Linked DNA regions of Macaca fascicularis. The protein of the gene in region 2 purifies or fractionates together with the protein of the main gene of each other region. This does not show direct contact. Links are inferred from orthologs where the notes say so. Each region holds a gene or a part of one and is shown on either strand. Other genes may lie near its edges.

What was found. Proteins that work in one complex are often made in the same cells at the same time.
Region 1: the proteins of EPS15 (region 2) and AP2B1 purify together in Homo sapiens (affinity purification with mass spectrometry; 3 studies listed by BioGRID and IntAct, with this or other methods). This does not show direct contact. The link is inferred for Macaca fascicularis from reciprocal best matches to the Homo sapiens genes EPS15 and AP2B1.

Annotation. Positions count from the first base shown.
Region 1 is NC_088390.1:41,887,728-41,893,828, reverse strand, and holds the start of AP2B1 (AP-2 complex subunit beta), read right to left. Parts: upstream 3,463-6,101; 5' UTR 3,187-3,462; exon of another isoform or gene 3,103-3,186; intron 1-3,102. UniProt on the Homo sapiens protein: Component of the adaptor protein complex 2 (AP-2). Adaptor protein complexes function in protein transport via transport vesicles in different membrane traffic pathways.
Region 2 is NC_088375.1:183,373,855-183,379,251, reverse strand, and holds part of EPS15 (epidermal growth factor receptor substrate 15), read right to left. Parts: intron 4,742-5,397; coding exon 4,579-4,741; intron 2,083-4,578; coding exon 1,895-2,082; intron 1-1,894. UniProt on the Homo sapiens protein: Involved in cell growth regulation. May be involved in the regulation of mitogenic signals and control of cell proliferation. Involved in the internalization of ligand-inducible receptors of the receptor tyrosine kinase (RTK) type, in particular EGFR.

The sequences.
Region 1 (6,101 bases), on a different chromosome or scaffold from region 2:
GCCTTCAGAGTAGCGGGGACTACAGGCACCCACTACCATGCCCGGCTAATTTTTGTATTTTAGTAGAGAGGGGGTTTTCCTTGTTAGCCAGGCTCATCTGGAACTCCTGACATCAAGTGATCCATCAACCTCGGCCTCCCAAAGTGCTCGGATTACAGGCATGAGTAAATTCTTTACAGGAATTTTCACTACATTCTATTAAACAATAAATTAACCTAAGTCTTAAGTCATGCCTTTAACAGCTCACATATTTCATTATCTGTAACAATTTCAATGTCAAGGAATATATTACTGTCCTGTTCACTGTGAGCATTAAGTGTTTTCATCTTAACTAGAAAATAATGCACCCACCCACAAAATTTCAGGGAAGAGAGGAGGGTCAAGTATCTTTAGACGCCCATAACATAGATTCTAAATTAAGAGTCCCTGCTGCTCTAAAGAGAAGGGATATCACTGTAGTAAGCAACACTATTGTAAACAATATTCCCTATCCATATTGGCAGAGAAACATGGTGCCAAGCTGGTTCTTGCCTTAAGCCAAAAGAAACTCCAAGAAAAATGAAAATAGTCTAAATAAAAACAAATAGAAGACATGATTGTTGCACAACACTGTCAGTGTACTAAATTCCACTGAACTGTATGCCTTAAGCTGGTTCATTTTATGGTACGTGAATTTCACCTCAAAAAAAAAATCACATATATATGATTAAGTGTATCTCTCATATAGTGAGTTCTTACCTCATATAATGAGAGACACATTTAATCACATGCTAGATATGGACATAGCCAGAGTCTCCAAAATACAGGATGGCAAAAACTGACATCTTCATTAGAAGTAACAGAAAAAGTAAACAAAATAGAGCTCAAGAAAAAAAAAAACAAAAAAACTCAAATATTTGCTGAAGTGCCTCAAAAATCAAGCTGCTCCTTTGGGGGAGAAAATGTTCCTTCAGAAGAGCCAGAGAAATAAGCAAAGCCATGACGGAATTTGAACTCACACTACCTTTCTACCAGATCAAACCAGACAAGTCACGGCTGTTCTGAGGATTTATGATATGGCCTAAGGCCATTGTTAAACAACAAAGCTGCCAGAGTCAAAGCACATAATCACTCTTACTTGCCCTGACCAGAGTGTGATGTCACTGCATTTCGGAGTAGGCCTCCCTGCACAGGATTACATATCCAGATTTAACATAACCTAGTTTCTATGAAATATAGGTTGTCAAAGTCCCTCCTCTCCTATACCTCCCTCCAGTTCCCTAAAAGAGAAATTGAGCAGCAAAATAAGATTAATACCTTGGGTAGAATAAGGTCAAAAAAAATTAATAGGATCTTAATTCAAATGGCTCTCTGGGAAGCCAAATTAGTTCGTAAAGTCCCTAAACCCTTCTTTTCACAAAGTTGGACTTTACAAAGCTCAGTGCTCACAGTAAAAAACAGAACAAAGTTAACCAAATTATAAAGCAGAAATGTCATTCCAGTAATCTTTTATTGTAAGGGTGAGAGGTGCCAAATTCATTTCTAATCAAATATTCAGTAATAATGCAAAGACAATAGCATCATCAGGTATTATTTTTCTCATAAGAAATTACGACACAAAAGCTAAAATCACCTGTGATTTCTACTTAGACTACAAAGTAGCTTCTTAATATTATATAGAAGCAAAGGAGTTCAAAAGCCTCCCAAAGTGCTGGGATTACAGGCGTGAGCCACCGCGCCCGGCCTACATCTAATTCTTAACCAAAATAACATTAAACTCTGGAAAACTTAAGCCTGGAAGGAAAGAAAGGACAAGAGAAAGGAGAAGGTGCCCTATTTAATATATTCCTTGCTCAGCTTGGTTCAAACCTGTGCCTAAAAAGTTAGTACTTCAAAATATGGATCTTTTAAGGACGGAAAGAATGAAAGAACTGGACTTGAGTTTCTTCATACACAGTCAGAATATTAGATTTATATTGATTTTACCACCCAGCTTTTAGTGAGGATGCTTGCATTATACATCACCCTTTCTGCTTCCTTGAAAGTTTCAACGGTTAAGATACCTGCAAACAGTTCTCACCTTACCAGCACGCTTAGTCATCACTGGAATGTGTTACACGTTTTCTTATAGAGCTGCACCTCCTTCATCTGCTACTTTCTATTATTACTTTGTAAGTGTACCCTGAGGCTAAGCAATTCAAGTATACAAGGAAGGTAATTAATAATTTAAATTGATTCTCATTGAGACCACCTTCTTTCTTAGTCATTCTGCCTTTGTAAGTTTAATGCATTTTCTTTTAAACCACAATGGTTACGATAAGTCTTTGGCGGTTTTCAAAACATTTTTTCTTTTCAAAAGTCAAGTTTGGCTGGGCGCTCTGGCTCACGCCTGTAATCACAGCACTTTGGGAGGCCGAATAGGGAGGATCGCTTGAGCCCAGGGGTTCTAGACTAGACTGGGCAACACAGTAAGACCCTGTCACTGAAAATATAAAAATAAAATAAAATAAAAGTCAAACGTTTAATGAAGCATCCGCGTGAGTTCAATGAAAGCCTGTCCCCCCACCCCACCCCTCCAACAGAAGACTGCTCTTGAAAATAAGCAGCATTAACAAATTATTTGGATTCAAATGATAAGGAAATAACAGTAAGTTCCAGTTTCTTTACTTTCAGCTTAATCTACAGCCTTTCCCAAGCCAGACCATTCCCGCAGAGCCCAGAAAAAGAAGAAGAAAAAAAAAAAAAGGTGGGTTAAGATTTACCCCCATTTGCTTCCCCCTCTCTTACATCGGGTCAATTCTGGAGGTTACTCTTCCTCCAAGAGTCAGGAATGCCTCTTCTTTCCCCAGGTGGTCAAGATTCTAGCGATATGCTCCTCCATTACGGAGCAGGGAAGAGGTTGTCTCTTACCCTCAAGTTACTGGACAGACGACGTTCGCCCATCAATGAGCAAACGGGTTTTTCCCTTTCGCTTTTGCTGGACACGTCTCAGACTCTTAGTGACTCTTAGTGAACGACGCCGAGCGGGGAAGAAAGACGGTTCCCCCCACGGCCTCCAGGCTCTATCAGCCACACCCCTGGCCTCTGGTCCTCCTAAACCCCCAATTCCGAAGTACATCTTACCCTCATGCCCCCAACTACTTGCTGCCACACCCGAGGATTCCCTCACCGCACCACAGTCATCATGGTGGAGACCCTTTCTCCAACCTTTTTCCTCTCACTGGTCACACCCGACGGTTCCCTGTATCCTCAACGGTCACGCTCTTAGGATATCCTCGCTTCCGCCGGTCCTCGACCCAGCCTGGGGTTCCCCTTCTTTTCGTCCCCCACCCCGTCAATTAGGGACACACCCCAAAGGCAGCCTCCCTGAACTCACCGGAGGCGGAGGCGAAGTCGAGGGCGGGGGTGGCGGCGGGAGCCGGAGAGCACAGCCCGGGTGGTGGTGTAATGGTTTCCTGCCCGTCACGATTCTTTTCTAGGTCTAAGCCACTGCGCAAAACCCACTTTGCCAGGGACAAAGATGGTGGGCAGGAAACTCTGACGTCAGAGAACGTCGCCGCGTGACGTCATCGGGGTGCGCGGGAGACCTAGCAAGGCGGTAATCTCTGCCGCCTTCCAGCCCCAAACATTTCCCATGGTCCCAGCAAAGCTGGCCCATCTGGGCCTCAGAGGATGTTAAGTGGCTACTCCAAAGGAATATATTTAAAAAGCTGACAATGGATTTGTTACCTCGCACAGAAATTCTCTGAAAAACGTAAACACAGAGATGATGAAATATCCTGTTCCTTTGTGAAAAACAAAACCCCTCAGCTCATTTTCCTTCCAGGCTCAAGAGCGGACAATGGTGATATAACCCAGGCCTATATACGGGCAGTGGGGCTAGAGGATAGTGGTGCAGGTAAAAGAGGTTGAGGAGGCATTGGATGTGAGTTTGAATCCCTACCCTGAATGTGACTGGGAAAGTTAATGTCTCCTCAATCTTCTTATCTGTGAAATGAAGACAATGATAGTATCTCTCTCGGGCATGTGAAGCGTAAACCAGATAAATTAGGTCAAGTGCCTAGTATATAATAGGTGTGCTTACACAAAAGTAAGTTTCTTTCGGAAACTAAGACCTAGATTCCAGGACCTGGAACTGGAGAACAAGATTGATGAGGTTAAATGAACTAGCTGTCCCTAAGGTTAATTTCAGGGTGTAAGGAAGGATGGAGAGCAAAGTGATTATTTATTTTTCTCACATTTTGCCCATGAACTCTGTGAGTCAGAAAGTGTTTAAGTATTTTAAAACTTCATTCTTAAAAAAGTGATCAGAAGTACATTAAAATTTTGTATAACATACTCATGTATTATTATTTCCTCTGTTATTAAAATAGAGGAATAGGGGAAATTGGAAAGCCAGGTATAAAGAGAGATAATGTAAACACTTATGGTAAATCAGATAGCTGCATAATGTTATAGAATATTTTATGACAGAAAATTCATAAAGTGTTAAGTAAAAATAGGATACAAAACAATATAGTATATGGTATGACTATATATGTATAGAAAAAAAAAAGGCTAGGATAGGCCAGTCATGGTGGCTCACACCTGTAATCCCAGCCCTTTAGGAGACGGAGGTGGGCAGATCACCTGAGGTCAAGAGTTTGAGACCAGCCTGGCCAATGTGGTGAAACCCCGTCTCTACTGAAAAAACAAAAATTAGCTGGTGTGGTGGCACATGCCTATAATCCCGGCTACTCAGGAGGCTGAAGCAGGAGAATGACGTGATCCCAGGAGGTGGAGGTTGCAGTGAGCCAAGATCTCGCCACTGCACTCCAGCCTGGGTAACAAAACCAGACTCGTCTCAAAAAAAAAAAAAAAAGCTTGGATATTCAGCACAATGTTAAAAGTGGTTATTGCGGAATAGTGAGAGTTTTACTTTTCTTCCTAATATTTTTCTGTACTTTTCAAATACAATGAACATGTATTTATTTATATGATTGGGATGTGCCTTTTAAATCATATTGTTGAAAAATATGATACAGAAAAATGCTTTGAAATGATAAGAATAAAAGAAAGATACAAAACTCTAAATCCAGAGGCGTATATATACCTATTAGTGGTTCTCTCTGGGTGCTGATTACAAATGTTATCTTCTTTATATTTGTTTTATTTTCCAATCCTTTCTCTGAAAAATGCATATATTTTAAGGAAAAATGAACCAATGCTATTTTCGAAATACAGCATCAATCCAAAAGCTTTTCCAACCTCATTCTCTTCCACTTTTAGGTGAAAGTATTGACCAATCTCCCTTCTTTTCACCTTTTGGGACCATCACGGGCTCATAATCTAATGGGAGATCACTCAAGAAACTGTTGAAATGATCCAGCCACATGATGATGGTGGTTTAAACAAATAACTGTTGATATTTATTGAGTATGATTTTATGTCGGTTACTCTGCTAAGTACATTTTTACATCCTCACCACCTACCTGATAACCAGGCAGGTACCATTACTTCCTCTATTTTAAGAGATACAGAGAAGTTAAAAGGTAGAATTAAGATGGCCGGGCATGGTGGCTCACGCCTGTAATTCCAACACTTTGGGAGGCCAAGGCGGGCGGATCACGAGGTCAGGAAATCGAGACCATGCTGGCTAACACGGTGAAACCCCATCTCTACTAAAAATACAAAAAAGTTAGCCAGGTGTGGTGGCAGGCAACTGTAGTCCCAGCTACTGGGGAGGCTGAGGCAGGAGAATGGCGTGAACCTGCCAGACGAAGCTTGCAGTGAGCTGAGATCGTACCACTGCACTCCAGCCTGGATGACAGAGCAAGACCCTGTCACACACACACACACACACACACACACACACAAGGTAGAATTAAGATTTGAACCCAGGAAGTCTGACACTAGGACTGATAAGGCTTATGTTTTAGGTTTGGGCAAGGGATGAATGGTGGTACTCATCACTGAAAATAGGAAAATATAAGAGATGGCAGAAGTTTGGGGAATGAGAGGGAGGTGATGAGTTCATTTTATATGTTAGGTTAGAGTGAAGATCTCTATCCAAGAGGTGCTTAATTATATGTGTCTGAAGATAAGGAATGATCTGGAGTTAAATTTGTGAACTGTGAGCATAC
Region 2 (5,397 bases):
AAAAATTAGCTAGGTGTGGTGGCGCATGCCTGTAGTCCCAGCTACTTGGGAGGCTGAGGCAGGAGAATCACTTGAACCTGGAAGGCGTAGATTGCAGTGAGCTGACATTACGCCACCGCACTCCAGTCTGGCAACAGAGCAAGACTCTGTCTCAAAAAAAAAAAAAAAAAAAAAGAAAAAAGGAAAGTCACGCTGGGCACGACGACGGCTCACACCTGTAATCCCCAACATTTTGAGAGGCTGAGGCGGATGGACCACCTGAGGTCAGGAGTTCAAGACCAGCCTGACCAACATGGAGAAACCCCGTCTCTACTAAAAATACAAAATTAGCCAGGTGTGGTGGCACATGCCTGTAATCCCAGCTACTTGGGAGGCTGAGGCGGGAGAATCGCTTGAACCCGGGAGGTGGAGGTTGTGGTGAGCTGAGATCATGCGACTGCACTCCAGCCTGGGCAATAAGAGCAAAACTCCATCTCAAAAAAAAAAGTCTGTATAATTCTGACACTCCATTTTTACAATATTCAAAATATTGATTCCTGTTTTGCTCCTTCATATTCAAGAGAAGCCACCAGAACTTAGAGTACAGATTCAAAAGCTGGGAGCTCAGTCGTCTTAGTTGCATGCAGATTCTTTTTCGGAGACAGGGTCTGGCTCTGTCACCCAGGCTGGAGTGCAGTGGCATGATCATGGCTCACTGCAACCTCCACCACCTTAGCCCCCCAAGTAGCTGGGACTACAGGTGCTTAAAGAACTTTGGTCTCTTAAAATGCTGGGATTACAGGCATGAGCCACCATGCCCAGCCTGCATGCAGATTCTTGACTACCTCCTTTCTAACTAGAAATAGCTGCAGGGATAAAGCAACTGGTTGAATGTCCCAATGCTACATTGAGGAGGGAAATATTAGGCAGAATTACCTGGCCACTAGATCTCCTGTTTCCAAAATCATCTCAAGGGCATAAGGTGATAAACAGAAGAAAATTCCTGTTTTATAGAACAGGCAGTGATAACGAAGGTTATTTTGCCTGAAAAAACTGGGAAACTGAAACTTTGTTACCCAGTCTAAGAATTTTATTTAAAAATAACTTGTTTTTACTGAATAATGATGGAATATATGACATTGCTTTATGTCCCTCTAGACTGATAACTCCATGGTTGGTGGCCCCATTTCTGTGATTTTATACGCCCTGCTTATGCTGTTATCATGGCACCCTTCCACTGTTTCTAATGATCTTCCTATTTTAGACATCTCTGAAAGAATGCAGAGTAAACATGAGAAGTTAGTGAATTAGATCTCTCCGAATAATTAAAGATTGTTTAAATCCTGACAACCATTTATTTATTTATTTCATAAAACTGGCATTTACATTTTTTAAAAGTGACTATATAAGTTTAATAGTTTTACTTTCTATTCAAATAATCTCTGGCCCTATCCTCTGATATAATATTTGCTGACTGGTCTCAGAAATCATTAAAACTTTATACACAACCACACATACACAGCCGCAAATGCACAAACTTATTACTGGCATTGTTCATCTAGTGGGCAGACACCAATGACTCTGTAATTGTTCATTAAGTCATCATCACCCATAACCATTCACAAAGTAACAACTGTTAGGATTTTACTTATATTACCAAGACTAAGAGAAATATTTACAAAACAACTTGTATATATGACAAAAACTAAGACTACTAAAATCATTTGTGCAATGGAACAACCACAGAACTGTCAAAACAGGATCAAACAGAGGTTTTTCTTGGGGGAAGAACGAAAGATTATTTTTAGTATCTTGGTAAATTTAGTTAAAATGATGCAAACTTGGCAGACTCCAAAATAATCTTTGAAAACTCTTCAAAGATTTTTCCCCCAAAAAACTCATTCACAGTACTTACAGCACTGAAGTTGGCAAAATTGCTTGGATCAGCCTCTCTATTGGTAGTGGTAGTAGCAGAAGAAGTGAATGGATCACAAAACATTTCAGGATCTTTTTCTTTGGGGCTATCATTGCCTGGGAATGGCTGAAATGGATCATTCAGTTTAAAGGGATCAGGAGAATCCAGTTTGTTGATGGATCTTTTCCCTGGATCAAAATCATCACAATTAATTCAACCAGTAAATACAGCAAATACAAGCACACAAGAACATGTACACAGATAGCATTAAAGTACCGTGGGTAGAGGATGACTAAGTACCTAAAACACATTCTTGTCTTAAATGGCAACACCAACTATCTGTCCTCAAATTCTTCACACATGATCTCTCAAATAGATTCCAGCTATGTGCAGCTAATGAAACAAATAGCAAAGCAAGGATGGGCCAGGAATCATATTTTTGTCCAGAGATTGAATACCACCATCCCCCAGCCACAACCAAGCAGCATGTTCCCAAAAAGAGAGACGAATGGATTAAACAGAAGGAGAATAATAAAGAATAAAGACAGAAATGGCCTGCCTCTGCTGTTATAAACCTCAGCCTGATAACAGTTATCCACTAGTGGCAGTAAGAGCAAATGACCTCTGAAAAATGGGAAAATTCTTCTGATTTTTCTCTAGTTCTAGATACAATACCTAGGAGCATAAAATTTTAAAATTACTGTAGTAAAACCCTGCCAATTTTTTGTTATTTACTGTATTTCAAAATGAAGAAAAAATGTTTTGAAGCCCAGGGCCTAAATCTTTGTGGTTGCTGATCAAATAATCTCTGACCCAACAATAGTATTTTGTCCTATTAGTCACTCACTAATTCATTACCATTTTCAAACAAGTTCTCTAAGTCTTACTTAAACTTAGTACTTCTTGAAGAAAAGATAATAAAATTAGGGATCAAAATATCTCTAAATATATTTTTTTCCTAAAATGCGTAAGCTGGTAATAGCAATCATAACACAACAGATTCCATCACTGTAGCTGCTTAGAAAAGATGCTCATATCTCAATGGATCCTTCCAATAATCCTGTGAAAGTAGGCAAAATTAGAATTGCTGCCAATATTTAACAGCCAACGGTCAGATATATGAAATTATACACTTAAGATCACAGTTAGGGAACATCCAGAAACAGAACCTAGATTTTTAGACTCCCAGTTCAGTGCTCTTTCCAACAAACCAGTCTTTTCCTTAATCTTTTTACAATGATATACAATCACTTGGTTGAAGATTCTGAGATTTAACAAAAGCACTAGCATATTATTTTACTTAAGATTTAAAAAAACAACCTCACTATTAGCATCATGCAAGTGTAAAAAGTTAAATGTGCAAATTAACCATTATTTATTTTTAAATATATTCTGGCAACCTCACTTCTAGAAATATATGACATAAGCTACTTTTCCTTAGAAGGAATCACTTAACTCATTTACCTGATTTTTCAACAGATTATCAGGTATTAACAATTGTACATGCAATCCTTTCAGTCAAAGAAAAAAAACTTACCTGCTCAAGACCATGGAAAGGTTATGATGAAAAGGCAGTATTAATCTGTAACTACTTAGACTGAAAATTTCCCAAGGAATGAGGTATGATTTTTTAAAAAATGTACTAAAATGTGTCTTCTCACGTAATAGCCCAACAGCACTACAACTACTCAAGGAATTATCCTTTTACCCACTTATTATGACCTAAAAACAAAACAAACTTTCCTTTGTATAGTGCTAAACATATACATACACACACATACTAATCATACAAACAAAAATAAGAGAAAAATCACTATTAGAAAAGAGTCTTGGCCAGGCGTGGTGGCTCACACCTATAATCCCAGCACTTTGGGAGGCCGAGGTGGGCAGATCACCTGAGGTCAGGAGATAGAGACCAGTCTGGCCAACATGGTGAAACCCAATCTCTACTAAAAATATAAAAATTAGGTAGGCATGGTGGATCATGCCTGTAATCCCAGCTACTCGGGAGGCTGAGGCAGGAGAATCCCTTGAACCCGGGAGGCTGAGGCTGCAGTGAGCTGAGACTGTGCCACTGCACTCCAGCCTGGGAGACAGAGCAAGTTTCCATCTCAAAAAAAAAAAAAAAAAAGGAATCTTTTAAGTTAGCTAAAATACCATTTTCCTTCAAGAAAACCAATACTTTGTTTCAAATCACTATATTGCTGAATTCTGGATACTAAAGAGGCCATATATTCTTACATTAAAGGACTTAAGGAAGACTTTATATGTTACGGGAAAAGGACTTTGAAACAATCTTCTCTTAAATAAATTATAATTAAAACACCAAAGTACAGGAAACTGCTATTCAAATGGATAATCAATGAGTTTCTAAAAGGCAAAGAGATTTTCTTGACACTTTCCCTTTTCCATTTACTGCCTCTCTGAAATGATTAAGTTAAAAAAAAAAAAGAAAAGAAAAACAGGTTTTAGCAGAAAGACAGCTCATGAAATGTACACATGCTGATCTCTTAGGTGCATGTCTGTAATTCGGCAGTTAGGTCAGAATGAATGACAGCAGGAAGCTTCTGACATATGTTTGACTTGTTTCATTTAAAGCCCTCTATATAAGTAAGCTCCACACAATACTTTTCAGAAAGAGAAAAGCCATGTAGTTGACTGAAGAAAAGTACCAAATCTCATACCAGGTGGTGGTGGGCAGGGTCTTGTTGGAGTTCCGACCTTTGGTGGCAGCGCTGGGGGTTCGTCTTCACTTTTCACCGATGTTTCCTCAAATACATTTTTTGTAATCATTGCATTGCTTACAGAGCTCGATGTGGCTGAACTAAAAGGATCTTCATTGTTGACCTTTGTTTAAAAAGAAATGGTTATACATGGCTACACCAAGCAAACTGTGGTAGTCATGTAGCATTTAGAATAATGACTGAAGTATTATACAGTTTTATTTAATTCTGAGACCACTGTCATTTTAACCTTTGCATTCAGAGTCCAATGGGAGAAATTTTTGAAAAAAAGTTATTCTATATGAGTAGTGATTCTAACATCATTACTTATTAAGAGTAACAGATCAAACCAAAAAAAGTTCAATCTAGATTAAAAGTTTGTCAAGCTTCAGGAAATATTCAATGCAAAACCACCTGAGGCCCATTTTAAAGGGATTGAATGCCTTTCCACAAAGAATATCTGATCTAAATGGTAATGAAAGGAAAAAAAAAAACAGATTCCATACTTCCTAATGAACTTAAATATGAGATTTAATACTAATGCAAAGAAAATGACATCTTGACAAACTATAAAGACAACCTGAAAGTCAATGGTTTTTTTTTTTTTTTTTTTTAAGAGGCAGGAGTCTCCTAAGTATCCTAAGCTGGAGTGCAGTGGCACAATCATAGCTCACTGCAGTCTTCAACCCCTGGGCTCTAGGGATCCTCCTGCCTCAGTTAGCCTCTTGAATAGCTAGGACTACAGGCATGTACCAACATGCCTAGCTATTTTTTTATTTT